Oryzias latipes: one gene and its partner. The protein of the gene in region 2 purifies or fractionates together with the protein of the main gene of each other region. This does not show direct contact. Links are inferred from orthologs where the notes say so. Each region holds a gene or a part of one and is shown on either strand. Other genes may lie near its edges. The genes, in order: mucosa-associated lymphoid tissue lymphoma translocation protein 1-like and card11.

Region 1 (4,389 bases), on a different chromosome or scaffold from region 2:
ACTGTGCAGACGTTCGGAAAACCTGCTGTCCTTGAAGGCATCAGGAAACGGCGCCCTACGTACCGATGGAGACGTCCACCTCGTTGGTCCACATCCTCTCTCTGCTGCTGCTGATCTCGCAGCGGTACCTGCCGGCGTGATCCGGCGCCACGTGAGGGATCTGGAACGACGCCGTCTGGTTAAACTACAGCCGAGGAATCTGATCGACTCGGAAGAGGAGACGGGAAAAGGTCACCGAGAGCTTTCGCTTGGTGGCGTTCGGGACCGGGACTCCGTTCCGGTGCCACTGGTATCGAGGGATGGGCCGCCCCACGGCGCCACACTCCAGCTGCAGGCTCTCCCCGGCGTGCAGCGTCTGCGACTGCGGCTGGACCACCAGCTTCAACCGTCCGTCCAGGGAGTGGTAGCTCTGCCCTGGAGGAGGCGGAGCAGAGGGGAAGTTCGGTTCTGAGCCAATTTTCCTCTCATAGAAAAAAAACTGTTTTACCAAAAGGTAAGAAATGCAAACCCCTAACTACTAAAAAACTATCTAGTGCCCTGAATTTTAAAAGCAATTCTGACACCACGCTCGCTAATTTGTTCTTTAAGGACGGAAAGGACATCATCGATTTTAGGACTTTCAAATCAAATTGATATCAGTGTTTTGCGATGATTATTTATGAGTCTGATAAAAATGTTGATGATTTATTAAAAAAAATACATTTAATGATACTTTTTGGGGAAAAAATTGTTTCGACGCAATGCATTGTGGTCTATTTTCACAGATCTGGTGAGCATCGATGCACACTGGTTTTTTGCAGAGACTTCTGGGAAATTTCTAGGGCTCTGGATTTTGGAATTGTAGATTTGGAAAATGAACAACGCCCTATAGAGTGAAGTAGGGAGGAATTCCGACACAACCATAAATAATCGTCACAAAACACTCATATCAGTTAGGTTTAAACCTTTTGAAATCGATGATGTCATATCTGCCATTTATAAAAAATAACACGTAGTGAGCGTGGTGTCCCAATAGCTTTTAAAATCCAGGGCACTACATGGTGTTTTTAGTATTTAGGGTGGGAATTCGGACACAACCACAGTGAATCACAAAGTGAGGGGGGCGGGGGGCTTTAAGGTGAATTCCTCAGAAATGAAACCCTAAGTCTGACCGTAAGACACCCCGACGTTCAGGACGTCCACCTGAGCCCACTGGCTGAATTCACAGGCGCCCTCGCCGTTCACCCTGCAGATGTAGAAGCCGGCGTCCTTCAGCTGGACGGAGCTGATCAGCAGGTCAGGAGAGCAGCTGCCAGGAACCTGAGGTGGAGACGCAAGAAATGTCTGCAGCCTGTCATCCACACACGGACGCAGGAAAACCGGGAGAAGTCCGGAACCGTGTGTGTGGTAGCAAACCTCCTCTCGGGACTTGAACCACTGGTACTGCACGTCAGATTTCCCCACGGCGAGGCAGCTGAGGCGAAGGTTGTGTCCAACCAGCAGAGCCACGGACTGAGGCTGCAGGAGGATCTGCAGGGCTGAGGGGGCGGAGAACGTGGCGGGTCAGAAGAACCGCAAAACTTTCTGCAGGCGTGTGCATCTGCAGGTGTGGGTTTCTGCAGTTGTGTGTATTGGTGTGTGTTTCTGCAAGTGTGTTTCTGCAGCTGTGTTTCTGCAGGTGTGTGTTTTTGCAGGTGTGTGTTTGTGCAGGTGTGTTTGTGCAGGTGTGTGTTTTTGCAGGTGTGTGTTTTTGCAGGTGTGTTTGTGCAGGGGTGTTTGTGCAGGTGTGTGTTTGTGCAGGTGTGTGTTTCTGCAGGTGTGTGTTTTTGCAGGTGTGTTTTTGCAGGTGTGTTTGTGCAGTTATATTTGTGCAGGTGTGTTTCTGCAGGTGTGTGTTTTTGCAGGTGGGTTTTTGCAGGTGTGTTTGTGCAGGTGTGTGTTTCTGCAGGTGTGTGTTTTTGCATGTGTCTTTGTGCAGGTGTGTTTTTGCATGCGTGTGTTTTTGCAGGTGTGTGTTTCTGCAGGTGTGTGTTTTTGCAAGTGTGTTTTTGCAGGTGTGTTTTTGCAGGCGTGTGTTTCTTCAGGTGTGTGTTTGTGCAGGTGTGTGTTTTTGCAGGTGTGTTTGTGCAGGTGTGTTTTTGCAAGTGTGTGTTTCTGCAGGTGTGTGTGTGCAGGTGTGTTTTTGCAGGTGTGTATAGGTGTGTGTTTCTGCAAGTGTGTTTCTGCAGGTGTGTGTTTCTGCAGGTGTGTGTTTTTACAGGTGTGTGTTTCTTTAGGTGTATGTTTTAGCAGGTGCGTGTTTTGCAGGTGTGTATTTCTCCAGGTGTGTGCAGGTGTGTTTTTGCAGGTGTGTATAGGTGTGTGTTTCTGCAGGTGTGTGTATGACTCATGTTTGACAGAATAATTCAACATCAGAAAGGTCTGAATTCCAGCTAAGCACGTGAGTGACAGCAGACAACCTTGTGGTTTCAGACACTGCAGGGCTTCCGTGTTCCCCAGAGTCTGCAGGTAGTCGCTCAGATGACCCACGGTGCAGCCTCGATCTCCCATCAGCCTCAGCAGCATGAGGCTGGGGCTCCCTCCCACCTCCAGGACCCTCAGGGAGCACATCTCCATGTGGTCGGAGCTGCAGGAGAAAGAACGCAAACGTGTAGAACCACAAAACATGGCGCTGTTCTCCTTTGTTAAAGGCTTTTCAGAACTTGGTAGGACTTTCCTGAACTTTTTCAGGACCCAAAGCCTCAAAGTTTGTCTGTTAACCCGAGAACGGAAGACGATGCGTGAACGTACCTGACTTCAAAGCGTCTGTCGTTGTTGACGATCTCCCCGAGCCGTCTCCATCCTCTGACGCTTGATTTGTCCAGAACTTCGCAAAGTTTCCTCAGAACAGTTTCTTTCAGAGAGGAGATCTTTGTAGATCTGTCCCAGGCGTCGGACATGGTGGTTCTTCCCCACCGGCCTTTTCTCCGCGCCGGCGACCGTGAACAACAACCACCGCCGGCCGCGAGAACGACAACTTCCTTGAAATTCAGACATACAGAGACACGCCCACTCCACCTTAGGTTTCCCCGGCTGCTCTTTGCCAAAGATCCTCTATGTGTAAAGATGCATTACTCTATGGATAAAAACCCAAAATAAACCCATGTCCTGATGCAAAAATGTTATAAATATCAGATGTTCAAATAAAAAACAACAAAGTAACTAAAATAAAAAAACACGAGACCCAAAATTAATAACTGTAAACTTATGTGTGTCACAAGATAACATGGATGGAGTGTGTCTTCATAATACATATACAATCTTTTGTCTTCAGTTAGATTGGGTAGTTTTGTTGTGACGTAGACAGTCTCCGCCTCCATTACGTCATTTTCATGCGTTCATTTGTTATAGCATCAGTCAAAGGTTTTAGCCGAAAGTCCGTCAACAACAGAACAGTTTTTGTTAGTTTATTTTTTTAAATTATTTAAACATAATCATTACAAAACTCTAACAGACACAACCACGCAAAAATGCAAGTCACAGCTCTTCACAAAAACAAAGATAAAAAACTATAACAAAACAAGAATGTACACATATATAAAAAATATAAAAAACTTTCAGCATAAATTAAAATACAAGGCAAACAACAATCTGGACCCTAGATTTGTAACCATTCTGTAGCAGATTTACAAATGTCATCAATGAATGGATTTGAGTTGGGAATACATTTCAATGATGATAAAAACAGTCTGACTTCATTTTTAAAACACAGGAAATTCAGACGATCTTTTCTCCACTTTTCTTATGAATATGATATTTTCCCAAAATCAGGAGGATGTTCACTAATTTTGTTGTCTCTTTTGGCAACTTACTGTCATAAAACAAAATATATTTTTCTGTGAATTGTATGTTTTAAATTTCTTGACTAAGCCAGTTATGGAAATCTTGCCAGAATCTTTATGATCACTGGACATGAAAAAAACAGCTGTTTGGTTGTTTCTGGGGCTCGTGACAGAAATCACACGGATCAACCTCAAAGCCAAATCCACTCCTCAACGTCTCTGCCGATGGGTAATAATTGTCTATGATTTTGAAACACGTTTCTTGAATTTTGGGGACCATTGGCCATTTTATGAATTTCCATAGTTTAGAACCTGATGTGACAGGTGTCTCAGTTATTTTATATTTCACTTTTTTATTAAAGTCATGGTACAATTTACCTTTAAAGGATTTGTTTAGGTATTTATTATCATTTATTATCATTTTTTTCACTTAGTTTTATTTCTCCTATTACTAAATTTGGTAGTTTAATTTGAACATAGGAAGACAATTTTGTATTTTTTATTACGTGTATTAAAGCAATTGGAATTGCTCTGCAGGTTTTCTAATATTCCTTGGTTTTGCATTCAATATCATATTTACTTTTGAAGT
Region 2 (3,823 bases):
ACACAGGAAGAAGCCCACTGGACGCTGCAGCACTGCTCTGGATTCATCACACTGCACTATCGAGCCAGTTTTGATGGTAACCATTGTTAGAAATAAACAGAAAATCTACCCAGTAATGTCTAACAAAAATTGGGTAATTTGGATATTTTACCTCGTCTGACAGGTGTAAAAGCTCATTTAAAGAAACACTCTGATGAAAATGGTGTTTTTAACATGTTTTTGTGGCATTTCTCTTATCATCATATATACACATATGTATGTATGTGTATGTGTGTATATATATATATATATAAAATAAGCTTAAAATGGCATTTCTGAGTATTTCTTTTTTCAATTTTATGTCAATAGGGGGCAGATGAAAATGAGCAGAGCCTATTTGTGTCGTAGAAAATATGCTGGATGGGTCATAAGCTTCGTTCTGATGCATCCACTTGTAGACAATCACTTACATGTTTGTCTTTGTTTTCCTTGTCTGAGCTGGAATCTGGCTCAAAACTGTACGGCTGCATAGCTCCAATACTGCTTACCATTTTTGTTGCACCGGTAATGTTATGTTGGGGCTGTAAGCTAGCAGGAGCGCATGTAAACAGAGAGCTCTCAGTAATGGGGAAGGGAAGGGGGCGGGGTTGCTCCATGCCATTTTTCCTGCCCACAACGCAATGGTAAATTTCTAATGTTTGCAGAATTATGTCCTAGAAAACAAGACAAGTTTTTTGTTTTTGGCTAAAAGTGGCATAATCAAAATGAAAAGACCACTGGGAACAGTTGGAAAATAGATCAAAAGATGATCGGAGTGCATCTTTGAACTGTGTCACAGAAAACAGGAAATACGGATCTCTGTTAATTTGCAAGTGAACCCTGATGTGGTCACCACAGTAAAGATACAATGGACTGTTCTGTGGGTTAAAGAGAGGAAGTAAACTTATTGAAATCACAAAAGTGGCTTCAAATTTTAGGCGAAAATAAAATGATCCACAGCTAAGATATGAAGGAGTGTGGATCACTACAGTTGGATAAATGGCTAGTTTGTGGATGAGGATAATATAGACAGGAAATGGGTTTAAAAAATACTTTAATAGGATGTATAGTTTAACTTAAACTGCGTGATATTTTGATTCCATCTAGACTTATTCAGTTTTCTAAACTTTAGTGTGAAAGCAAATCAAACCATTTATTTTTTTCTGAACTTCCAGTCAAATCTAGTCTTCTGGTCTGTCTTGTTTTAAAAGTGCGTTAATGCTGTGTTTCTGCTCTCCAGCATATCGCCGTCTCCAGAGGGATCTAGCAGATGGTAAATTAGCTTCTGGCGACTCTTTCTACATCCGAGTAAACCTCAACATCTCCGGACAATCCGACTGCTGCTCTTTAAGCGTGCGCTGCGATGAAGTTGTGCACGTGCTGGATACCAGGCACCAGGGCCTCTGCCAGTGGCTTTGTGCTCGTGTGGAGCCATTTAGTGGCTCTGACCTGGCCGAGCGTGGCACCATTCCCAGCAACTCAAGGTACTTTGCAACTGTTTGTTTAATGTTCTTTCTCATGCAGGAGGATGTTTTATAATGGACAAAAGGAGTTTTGGTTTTGTTAAGACTTTTCTCTTGGTATGAATGGGTGTGTACAGAGCACAGCAGCTGCTGCTGGTGAAGATTCAAAAGTTGGTGTGTCGAAGTGGGAAAGAAGAAATTGACAATAGCAGAGTAAGTGAAAACTTGATTTTATATTCAAGCTACATATTACACAAAACAATTGTATAGTTTTTCATATCAATGCTATTTGATTTCAGCAGACACTTAGTAAGTTAGCTTCGATTTGGGTCAAACACTGTGTCTTCTTTACCTTTTGCAGCTTAAAGATTCTGATATTCTTTCTATTAATTCTTTATGTTTGTCTAGAACACTTTAGCGCCAGAAGAAACAAGCTCGTCTCTCGATCCCAAAGCCAGTCCACGCTTGTCCAGAGCGAGCATTTTCCTCAGTCAGATTCTGCAGGTATTTAAAGAAAACCAATCCCACTCTCATGAGTCAATCTGAGCCCTGATGTGCCATTTCTTGTGGGTTTCTTGGGTTTCTAGTTCGTCGGCAGGGTGGACATCAAATACAAACGAATGAACAGCAATGAACGCGTGAGGATTGTCAACTCTGGCAGCTCATTACTACCAAGACAAGAACTGGAGATGCTCAGGCCTGAAGGTGAGCATAGAAACAATGCTTTTCATGGATGTAAGGGGAATGACGGACCTTGGTTTGATTTTAGGACTAGGGATGCCACGATTCTCAGATAAATCATTGCATTCCTGTTTAGGACCTACTAGGACATAAAAAAATCAAAATCAAAAGTCTGGAACCACAAAGCCTAGCATAAATTCAGATATTCAGATATTTATGTCAAACTGAGAGAAGCTTAAAGGGAAATAAATATATTCTTCTTCTTACTGTTTGATGGTCAAGATTTCTTTAATAATTTATTTTAAGGTGGCAACTATGTTGTATTTATAGACTAATTCATATATTAACGGAACCAATTGTCTCTGATGTTACCTGTAGGATTCTAAATGATGAACATGAATGCCTAACCCTTGTGCTATCCTATGACCCCACCCTTACATTGACGTGTTCTCCCTACCATGACAAAGGTGGATAACGGTGAAGAGGATTTCATGTAATCCATGGACACCAGTGAAGTTTACAAATCATTGAAGAAAAAAGTTCAGGGGTCTAGATGACCCAACTTCCAATGTTAAAGTGCCTAGGATAGCACAAGGGCTAAAAAAGTGGCATGAACATACAGAGTAACTCCTATTCACTCAACAATTGGAGAACTGTCAATCAAGAAAGACCATAGAGATTCTGTTTTTTTTAGGCCACCCAAGACTGCAACCTTCACCCAATCACCCAATCTGCCTTGATTTCTTATAATTGAAAGATAATCCCCTCCCTCCCTGCTGCCCCTAGAGCTGCAAATAAAAGCACCAAATATTAAGAAGTGTTTTTTGACCAGGCAGAGCACAAGTGTATTTTTTGTGTGTTATTCTGCTCTGAACCTTATTTAACACAGTGGTTTACTGGAAGGTTTTGAAACCTGCCTCTGGTGGTTCTTTGAGGAACTGCAGAAGTAGCCACTTCCTAGTTTGATTAAAGTTCTCAGAAAATCTGTTTTTATTTTGTAACATCAGTATTACTTACATCTACCATATAACATTTTTCTGAAGGCTGACTAGAAATATTTATGTTAAGCTTTTGTTAAGCTGTGTTATTGTTTTATTAATTCATGGCTGATGCTCTGTAGGCTGATGAATTCATTAGAAAGACAAAGGAGAAAAACTCTTATCAAATTAGTGAAAAATAGATGGATCTCTCCAGGAGGCAGAAAAAGTTTTAGATGACAAAGAAAAAATGAAAGCTTTGTTTGTGTGGGAGTTAAGACTTGTGCTCTAAAAAACCAGAGGATCACACATAGAAAATGAAAGATTTCTAAAAATAAAATGTGAGAGCTAGAAGGGGGTTGAAGTCTCGGTGGAGGTAGAAGAAAGCTGTTTGAAGAATAAGATGAAAGCAAAGCAAAAATGTCTTTTGAAGTAAACAGAGCAAGAGTGTTTGAAATGTTAAAAAAATTACATTTACTGGTAGACTGTAATGTCTTTACCATTGCTTTGATTACCAAACGAAATAACAAAAGAGCAAAATGTATGAAAAAAATAAAACCTCAAGTTATAACAAATGAAACCAAACCAGGTAGAAAACAGGTTTCCCTCTTTTACAGGGCCATGCTTTTCTTAAGCCTTTTGTAGGAAAAAATATCTATGTACTGGATATGGTAATACATTACC

What was found.
Region 1: the proteins of card11 (region 2) and mucosa-associated lymphoid tissue lymphoma translocation protein 1-like purify together in Homo sapiens (affinity purification with western blotting; 6 studies listed by BioGRID and IntAct, with this or other methods). This does not show direct contact. The link is inferred for Oryzias latipes from reciprocal best matches to the Homo sapiens genes CARD11 and MALT1.

What each region holds. Positions count from the first base shown.
Region 1 is NC_019867.2:1,792,837-1,797,225, forward strand, and holds the start of mucosa-associated lymphoid tissue lymphoma translocation protein 1-like, read right to left. Parts: upstream 3,029-4,389; 5' UTR 2,919-3,028; coding exon 2,770-2,918; intron 2,606-2,769; coding exon 2,439-2,605; intron 1,518-2,438; coding exon 1,396-1,517; intron 1,300-1,395; coding exon 1,152-1,299; intron 415-1,151; coding exon 236-414; intron 161-235; coding exon 64-160; intron 1-63. UniProt on the Homo sapiens protein: Protease that enhances BCL10-induced activation: acts via formation of CBM complexes that channel adaptive and innate immune signaling downstream of CARD domain-containing proteins (CARD9, CARD11 and CARD14) to activate NF-kappa-B and MAP kinase p38 pathways which stimulate expression of genes encoding pro-inflammatory cytokines and chemokines.
Region 2 is NC_019866.2:18,997,746-19,001,568, reverse strand, and holds part of card11 (caspase recruitment domain-containing protein 11), read left to right. Parts: coding exon 1-76; intron 77-1,258; coding exon 1,259-1,502; intron 1,503-1,618; coding exon 1,619-1,694; intron 1,695-1,889; coding exon 1,890-1,985; intron 1,986-2,068; coding exon 2,069-2,186; intron 2,187-3,823. UniProt on the Homo sapiens protein: Adapter protein that plays a key role in adaptive immune response by transducing the activation of NF-kappa-B downstream of T-cell receptor (TCR) and B-cell receptor (BCR) engagement.